2 linked regions of the Macaca mulatta genome follow. The protein of the gene in region 2 binds, or shares a complex with, the protein of the main gene of each other region. Links are inferred from orthologs where the notes say so. Each region holds a gene or a part of one and is shown on either strand. Other genes may lie near its edges.

Region 1 (4,597 bases), on a different chromosome or scaffold from region 2:
CTCTGTCTCAAAAAAAAAAAAAAAAAAAAAAAATGGGGGGCGGGCACGGTGGCTCACGCCTGTAATCCCAGCACTTTGGGAGGCCGAGGTGGGTGGATCACAAGGTCAGGAGATTGAGACCATCCTCACCAACGTAGTGAAACCCCGCCTCTACTAAAATACAAAAAATAAGCCAGGCATGGTGGCACATGCTTGTAATCCCAGCTACTCGAGAGGTTGAGGCAGGGGAATCGCTTGAACCTGGGAGGCGGAGGTTGCAGTGAGCTGAGATGAGATCACACCACTGCACTCCAGCCTGGTGACAGAGCGAGACTCCGTCTCAAAAAAAAAAAAAAAAAAAAAAAAAAAAGCTTTGAAACAAGAAGGGTCAGAGAGAAAAGAAAATCTGAGGAAACTGATTAGGCACACTCACCTTCGAAGGGTGAGATAATGGTCCAGGGCTCGTCTTCTTGTGGGGCTCATGGGTGCAGGGGCTGAGACAGTTGCTGACTCCTCGGCCTGTGGGCCAGCCCCAGGTTCAGGTTCCCTACTGATCTTCCCGCTTTGGAGTTCGACCTCTGAGGGTGGCACAGGAGAAAGGGAGACAGAGGGACCAGGGGCTTCTGGTCTAGGTAGAGAAGAATAGTCTGTAAAAGCAGTAAGGGAAAGGGCCAACTCTCCTATGACTCCCAACCTCTTAAAACAGTGTTTCTTAAACTATATTTTTCAAGATATTAGTAAGTTCTGCATACAAAGGATTTTAGAATCATGAATTTGGGAAAGGCTAGCTTTAAATTTTACAAGTTTTTTTTTTAATTCTTAAGACTTTGTATAGCTTTTAAAACTGTTACTCTTTTTTTTTTTTTTTTTTTTCTGAGATGGAGTCTTGCTCTGTCACCCAGGCTGGGGTGCAGTGGCCAGATCTCAGCTCACTGCAAGCTCCGCCTCCCGGGTTTACGCCATTCTCCTGCCTCAGCCTCCCGAGTAGCTGGGATACAGGCGCCCGCCACCTCACCCGGCTAGTTTTTTGTATTTTTTAGTAGAGACGGGGTTTCACCGTGTTAGCCAGGATGGTCTCGATCTTCTGACCTCGCGATCCACCCGTCTCGGCCTCCCAAAGTGCTGGGATTACAGGCTTGAGCCACTGCGCCCGGCCTAAAACTGTTACTCTTCAAGTAGAATTACAAAGTGCCATTTCCCAAACTTTATTTAAAAATCACAAAATTCTCCTTTTCTTTTTCTTTTGAGATGGAGTCTCACTCTGTCACCTAGGCTGGAGTGAAGTGGTATGATCCTGGCTCACAGCAACCTCTGCCTCCCGGATTCAAGCAATTCTTCCACCTCGGCCTCTTGAGTGGCTGGGATTACAGGCACACACCACACACCCAGCTAATTTTTTATATTTTTGGTAGAGACGGGGTTTCACCATGTTGGCCAGGCTGGTCTTGAACTCCTGATCTCAAGTGATCCACCGCCTAAGCCTCCAAAAGTGCTGGGATTACCGGTGTGAGCCACCGTGCCCGGCCAAAATTCTCCTTTTCTTGAAACACTAAGTAACATCTCCAGAACGCTAGTATTCCTCAGAATACAGACTGGAAAACACTTTCAGAGCCCTCTATCTCCTTCCGAGCCTTCCTACCTCTGGCTTTCCCCTCCCATACCTGTACTTCCGGCGGCAGCAACTGTTATAGTGGGGAGCTCTGTGCAGAGCACTCTGGGTGATAAGTCGTGTCTGGGTTAGCAGAGGAGCCTGGTAAGAAGATGGGAGACAGAGTCAGAGCCTTCAGCCCTCTGCCCTTCCAGCCTGGTGTGTGCAGCAGGGTCTTGCCTAGAACACACTCTCCACTCTCTGATTACCTCAGCTTTGGTTTCTTCCCTCCTCAATTCATTCTGATGTCTTGGATTCTGCTTCCTTTCCTTTCCCGGCTGCTTCTTGCCATAGAAAAGCTGCAAGCCTGAAGAGAAAGGGAAACAGAATTAAAAGCATAGCACCAAGGCTGGTGTGCAGAGATTTCGATTTATTCCCCATCCCCTGTCTTCCCCCGAACTTACTGGACAGATGTTTCTTGCCTGCACGGTGGGCAGTCAGCATGGCCAGGGTGTCCAGTACCGGTCGATGGGGGCAGATGGCACAAGCAAAGCTGAGCAGGGGTAGAGAAGAGGATAACTGGTCCAGGGGAAGAGGGTTGGGCCTGTCCCTGCCGTAAGTCCCACCCTGTCCTAGCAGTCTTTGCAAAACCCAACTCCCTGGTGACCCAATCTCCACTTCTTCCAGTCCTCACTAGCCGCCAAAGAATCCTAGATACTTCTGCTGTCCTAATTAATAACAAAAGTTTGTTGAAGCCGGGCGTGGTGGCGTGCGCCTGTAATCCCAGCTAATCGCGACGCTGAGAAGGCAGGATCACTTGAGCCCTAGAGTTCAAGGACAGCCTGGGCAACACAGCTATTGAGCCTCTAACCGCAAAACCCTCAGGCTTGAGCCACTCCTCGCTCTTACCGTCCATCCCGAAGCATCAGCGCCTCATCCTCTGGGATGTAACTGGCGAGGAGGTCCCCGACTCTTCTTTTCTGCAGGGAGTAGGGGAAGAAATCCGGACGGATCAGCAGGATAGGAGAGAGGGATGGAAGTTAAATGATAGAAATGAGGAGTCAAACGGAATAAGGACATAAGGACCCTGGGGAGAACAGCGATCATAGACCGAAAAAGGAGTCACTACACAGCTCTAAGTCGCCTGGTTCTCTCCTGCACCCCCGAGTTGTTGCCAGAGCAATGAAACAAAGCTCCTTCCCAACCTTCAGAGAGCGACTGAAGAGGCTGCAGATCCTCTCCGCTCACGCTTACTTTGAGCACATTGAGTTGACTCCAATCGTCTCCTTCCCTCTTGAAAGACATCACGACTGTGAGTCCCAGAAGTGATAAATTTTCTTGTTCCGGTTTCGCCACTCCTCTAGGCCACCGTAGCAAGAGCGGGACAGCGCCTTCTCTTTTCTCTTTGTCTTCCTGTCGGCCCCCGTACTTCCGGGAATGCACTTCCACGCATGCATTGCGCCATCCGGATATCCACTCTCTGGCGCGTGGAGGGAACTGCATTTCCTATGGTGCCGTGCGACTCCGCAGACGCGACGCCTTTTGGGAAATGAAGTCTTTTCCTCAAAGACCTTGCCGCTCAGCTGGATCCAGGCCCTTGCATCTTGGTGGATCTGAGGCGTTTAGAGGGACAAGAACCTAGATGTGGAGCCGAAATTTGAGGGTGTGACCTATCTGATGCGGAGCGGACCTTTGAGGATCTCTGAGTGGAAGGTGTACTACAAATTCTCGCAATCCTCACGCTCTTCGTCTGCGGCGACAGTTCACCTGGGGTGGGCCTGATTTGTTCCTGGCTCTAGCAAACAAACCCCGGGACCGGGCAGAGCTGGGATGTGGGAGCGCCCTGAGGCCAGACTACTTGGGGGCAAACTGAGGAAAGAGTGTTGAGGATTATTTCTAGAGTTCAAAGGTCAGAGGTCAATGTAGCGAGGAGTTGTGGGGGAGTTCAAAGTCGGAGGGGTGCTTAGGGGCGAATCAGGGAGGGACTGAATACTCAAGGGACAGATTTGTGGATAAGGACTTGGAGGGAGGAGAAACCGGGAGGGGGCAGGTGGCGTAGTGCTGGGGAGGCGGGGACACAGGGGAAGAGAGAAGGGGAAAGGAATCCCCTGAATATCTATTCCCAGACTTCAGGCCTGTCATTCGCAGTCTCGGTCGGGCCTCCCCTAGTTGCAACCTAGCTGTCGGCAGGGTGAAGAGATGGCTTCCCCGTCTAGACAGCCCCCGCCAGGGGGGTCAGGACTGCTTCACGGGAGCCGGGCTCGTTCATATGGAAGCCTGGTGCAATCGGCCTGCTCCCCAGTGAGGGAAAGACGCCTGGAGCATCATTTGGAGCCCGGAGACACCCTGGCTGGACTAGCACTCAAATATGGGGTGACGGTGAGTTTTCCAGGATTGGGGTGCAGACAAGAGTCAGGAGGGATTTAGTCCTGAGAAGAATGTAGTGGACCTTCTAGGTAACCTCCCCTGAAATGTTCCTAATGTGTTGAACTCTGTTCTGCTTTTATCTTTGTTTTCCCATCACAGTGTTGCACTGCGTGGTTGGGACAAGTTCTGCTCTACTATTCCAATGGAGAGGAACAGCTCCTATTTTATCATGCCAGACACTGTGCTAGGGGCTTCACATACGTTAGCTCATTTCACCCTCACGTCCGTATCAAGTATACATTTATTGTTCCCTTTTGGCAGATGAAGAAACTGAGACTTGGATTGGTTAACCATTTTGACTAAGGTCAAATAATGATTGTCAGATATGGGATTCAAACAGGTCTGTCTGACTCTGTAAACCACACAGAAAATTTTACATTGAGAGTGATTAAACGTTTACAGCAAATAATGGAGAGCTTATTTTTAGTTCTCAGTTCCTAAAGTGCCTACCTCTCCTTGCTCTTGGTTCCTCCTCAGTGCTCTGCCTTCTTTCTAGTAAGGCGGCTTCCCTGGCACAAAACAGGTACTCTACACCAAGTATTTCAGGTCATGCATGGGGGAAATTGGATAGATGTAAAAATGTATAGCATTGAAGTTGATGAG
Region 2 (4,552 bases):
TGAATACAGAAAATACGAGTCCACTGCTGCTATGAGTTTCATGTGTACCCTTCCAAATGTTTTGTCTCTGCACACAAACACACACACATACATTAAAATTTTAACCCAAGTACGAGTCACATTGCACGTTCTTCTCAGCAACTTGCTTTTTTCCATAAATAAAACACTGAGATGTCTTTACTTCTTGGGATATCTACTTCATTCCTTTAAGCAGTTCCAAAATAGTCCACTGCATGGCTGTACCAGGGGTCGTTTAGCTGTGTTCTCATAGACATTTGTTTCCAGTTTTTTTTTTTTCTTTGAGACAGAGTCTTGTTCTGTCACCCCAGGCTGGAGTACAATGGCACAATCTTGGCTCACTGCAACCTCTGCCTCCTGGGTTCAAGTGATTCTCACTGCCTCAACCTCCTGAGTAGCTGGAACTACAGGCACCCGCCACCACACCCGGCTAATTTTTGTATTTTTAGTAGAGACAGGGTTTTGCAATGTTGGCCAGGCTAGTCTTGAACTCCTGACCTCAAGTGATCCGCTTGCCTCAGCCTCTCCAAGTGCCGGGATTACAGGTGTGAGCCACCACGTCCGTCCAGACATGTTAAATTTGAGATCAGCGGCTACCCAAGTGGAGATCAGGAACCTGGAGTACTGGTGACTTAGTATTGGGAGTCATGGGATATAAATGGCGTTTAAAATTAGGAGCCTAGGCAAGATTACCCCGGGCCTGAGTGTAGTTGGGGGCCCAAGGTACTGTTCTGACCCAAGGCAAGAGTCTGGCAGAAGAGAAGGAAGGGATCAGGCAGGGTTTTGGACCTCTAGGCTTGATGGCCACCTGCTGCTGGGCCTCCAAGGGGCCTGGAGGCGGTGCGGACGGAATATGCAGAGAGAATGAGAAGTGAGCGAGTAGAACGAGGGTGGTACATGGCTTTGAAGGAGTCGGCCACGGAGGCGGGAAAGGATGGGGTGGAGGCTCATGAGACTTGAAGCTCTAGGAGGACATTGAAAAAGACCTGAGCGCTGGCCGGGCGCGGAGGCTCAGGCCTGTAATCCCAGCACTTTGGGAGGCCAAGGCGGGAGGACTGCTTGAGCTCAAGAGCTCCAGACCAGCCTGGGCAAAATAGTAAGAGCTTGTCTCTACAAAAAATTAACATATTAGCCGGGTGTGGTGGCGCGTGCCCGTAGCTACTCGGGAGGCTGAGGTGGGAGAATCGCTTGAGCCTGGGAGGTCGAGGCTGTAGTGAGCTGTGATTGCGCCACTGCACTCCAACCTGGGCGACAGAGCGAGATCCTGTCTCGAAAATAAAATAAGACCTGAGAACCCAGTATGGGAATGGCCCTGAGCCGTGGCTGAGGGGGGCAGGCGAGGCGGTCGGGAGAGACCCTTCGAGAAGATGGGGCTTCGAGGCTGAGGGAGCTCTGCCCCGAGAAGGCGCCAGCGAGACACAACACACCTAGCTAGGACCCCATACTGGGCAGGCGATCCTTCCGAGCATGCGCACCTGGCGCTAGCGAACCACAATTCCCAGCACGCCAAGCGCCTGTTTCCGGGGCGAGCCGCGGAACCCGGAAGTGGTCACGAAACTCGGCCGTGGCTCCATGGTCTGAGTGGTCAGCGGTTGCTTTTTCGTGCTAGGTAGTTGCCGCCGCCGCCGCGCCGCCATGGGGAAGCGACAGCACCAGAAGGACAAGATGTAAGTTGAGTCGCAGTCGGGAGTGGCGCTCCGCTCTGCCTCAGTAAACCGCCTGTCCCGCCCTGCTCGCCGCTCGCCTTCCCTCTCAGCTGGTCCCCAGAGCCCAGCCCAAAAGTCACTTCCTCCCGGAAGCTGCCACCGTCTCTCCAGTCAGGGTAATGACCCTCGGGCCGCCGCGCTCTCCCAGGGGGCCGCGGCTCCGAAGACGTCAGCTGCGGGCTCGAGCGCAGCCCGGTCTTTCTTTACTCTAGTTCTGCCCGGACCGTGCCCCGTCTGCTCGCGAGCTTTGCCCCTGTAGTCTCTCCCTCTTCCGTACTTCGCGTCTGGCTGTGTTCTGGTTCATGCCTATCAGCCTGCACACGTGCTGCAGAGCCTTCCTATTTAAAGCAAACCAGGCCGGGCGCGGTGGCTCACCTGTAATCCCAGCACTTTGGGAGGCTGAGGCGGGCGGATCACCTGAGGTCAGGAGTTCAAGACCAGCCTGGCCACCATGATGAAACCCCGTCTCTACCCAAAACACAAAAATTAGCGGGGCGTGGTGGCGGGCGCCTGTAATCCTAGCTACTCGGGAGGCTGAGGCAGGAGAATCGCTTGAACCCGGGAGGCGGAGATTGCCGTGAGCCGAGATCGTGTCACTGCACTCCAGCCTGGGCGACAGAGCCAGACTCTGTCTCAAAAATAATAAATAAAATAAAACAAAAAAATCCGCCTATGCCCCGTGCCCCGCGTTCCCCTCCTGCTGCCGCCGTGATTTCAGAACAAGTTAGAGACCCGTGGCTTCATGCTGTTTTCTGAGTCTCTTGAAACCACTCAAGTCAGAATTTCGATCCCAGAACTGCCCCTTGTCAGGTTGCCAGCGACTTCTTGTTGCTAACTCTAGTATTCAATCCTCAGTCCTCGTGTTTTTTTTGAGACGGAGTTTCGCTCTTGTTGCCCATGCTGGGGAGTGCAGTGGTGCGATCTCGGCTTTCCGCAACCCCCGCTTCCCAGGTTCAAGCGATTCTCCTGCTTCAGCCTCCCGAATAGCTGGGATTACAGGCATGTGCCCCCAGGCCCGGCTAATTTTGTATTTTTAGTAGAGAAGGGGGTTTCTCCATGTTGGTCAGGCTGGTCTCGAACTCCGATCTCAGGTGATCCGCCCGCCTTGGCCTCCCAAAGTACTGGGATTATAGGCGAGCCACCGCGCCAGGCAGCCTCAGTCCTCATTTTGTTGGGGTTCTCAACAGTATGTCACACTGTTAACCACTCCCTCCTTCTGAAGCCCTCCTTTGGTATCTGAGATTTCCTGTGCTCTTTGTTTTCCATCGACTTCAGCGGCCTCTCTTTTCCCAGCCTCCTTTCTGGACCCTCCTCCCTTTTCTCAGATCTCATAGGTTTCTTTTCCATAAACATTCTCTGTGAGTGATATAATTTCCCAGTCATCTATAAGCTGCTTTCCCCAGTCTTGTGTAGTTAGTGGCTTACTTGATATCTCCACTGGAGGACTGATAAACATCTCAATTTTTTTTTTTTTTTTTTTTTTTTTTTTTTTTTTGAGACGGGAGTCTCAGGCTGTTGCCCAGGCTGGAGTGCAGTGGCGCGATCTCGGCTCACTGCAAGCTCCGCCTCCTGGGTTCACGCCATTCTCCTGCCTCAGCCTCCTGAGTAGCTGGGACTACAGGCGCCCGCCACCGCGCCCGGCTAATTTTTTGTATTTTTAGTAGAGACGGGGTTTCACTGTGGTCTCGATCTCCTGACCTCGTGATCCGCCCGTCTCGGCCTCCCAAAGTGCTGGGATTACAGGCTTGAGCCACCGCGCCCGGCCTCAATTTTTTTTTTTTTTGAGATGGAGTCTTGCTGTGTTGCCCAGGCTGGAGTGCAATGGTGCGATCTTGGCTCACTGCAACCTCTACTTCCCAGATTCAAGCGATTCTCCCACCTCCGCCTCCCCAGTAGCTGAGATTACAGGCGCCTGCCACCATGCCCGGCTAATTTTTGTATTTTTAGTAGAGACAGGTTTCACCATGTTGGCCAGGCTGGTATCAAACTCCTGACCTCGGGTGATCCACACGCCTCTGCCTCCCAAAGTGCTGGGATTACAGGCATGAGCCACCGTGCCCTCAAATTTAATATGCCTTAAACAGAACTCTTGATTTTCAGCTCCTGAGCCTGCTCCTCCCTGTAAGCTAAAAATAAAATCCTAAATCCCCTTACTGGCTGAGCAGACACCCTTGTGCCTAAGAGAACTCCAGGAAAACCTTAAAACTGAGTTCCTGGCCATGATGCGATGGAGGTCAGCTGTACCTTGTTATATCTTCCTCCCTTTTGTGGCCCAGACACAACAACTGACTGGCATTAACGTTGAAATAGAGATCATAAAGGGGCCCGGCGCGGTGGCTCGCACCTGTAATCCCAGCACTTTGGGAGGCTGAGGTGGTGGATCATGAGGTCAGGAGATCGAGACCATCCTGGTTAACATGGTGAAACCCCGTCTCTACTAAAAATACAAAAAAAAAAAAAATTAGCCGAGCGTGGTGGCTAATTTTTAATAAAAATAAAGAAATAGAAATAAGATTGATGAAACAGACTCTTTGTGGCAATAAGATACCAAATTATAAATAGAACCTATAGTCATGCCAGACAACTTCCCTGGTTAAGTTACCCACCCCTACGCCTAAAGAATAAACTATATCCTTTTTTTTTTTTTTTTTTTTTTTTTTTTTTTTTTTTTTTTGAGACAAGTCTTACTCTGTCGCCCAGGCTGGAGTATAGTGGTGCGATCTCGGTTCACTGCAACGTCTGCCTCCCAGGTTCAAGCAATTCTCTGCCTCAGCCTCCTGAGTAGCTGGGATTACAAGCACCCACCATCACGCCCAGCGAATTTTTTT

Evidence for each region. Proteins that work in one complex are often made in the same cells at the same time.
Region 1: PPIL2 (region 2) and SCNM1 share a complex: the UniProt entries of both Homo sapiens proteins name them as parts of the minor spliceosome. The link is inferred for Macaca mulatta from reciprocal best matches to the Homo sapiens genes PPIL2 and SCNM1.

The regions. Positions count from the first base shown.
Region 1 is NC_133406.1:115,922,486-115,927,082, forward strand, and holds the start of SCNM1 (sodium channel modifier 1), read right to left. Parts: upstream 2,987-4,597; 5' UTR 2,873-2,986; coding exon 2,822-2,872; exon of another isoform or gene 2,773-2,821; intron 2,548-2,772; coding exon 2,477-2,547; intron 2,121-2,476; coding exon 2,032-2,120; intron 1,935-2,031; coding exon 1,837-1,934; intron 1,730-1,836; coding exon 1,641-1,729; intron 608-1,640; coding exon 413-607; intron 1-412. Other genes in the region: LYSMD1 (lysM and putative peptidoglycan-binding domain-containing protein 1), read left to right, coding at 3,767-3,946. UniProt on the Homo sapiens protein: As a component of the minor spliceosome, involved in the splicing of U12-type introns in pre-mRNAs. Plays a role in the regulation of primary cilia length and Hedgehog signaling.
Region 2 is NC_133415.1:31,327,121-31,331,672, reverse strand, and holds the start of PPIL2 (RING-type E3 ubiquitin-protein ligase PPIL2), read left to right. Parts: upstream 1-1,562; 5' UTR 1,563-1,653; coding exon 1,654-1,685; exon of another isoform or gene 1,686-1,728; intron 1,729-4,552. UniProt on the Homo sapiens protein: Has a ubiquitin-protein ligase activity acting as an E3 ubiquitin protein ligase or as an ubiquitin-ubiquitin ligase promoting elongation of ubiquitin chains on substrates.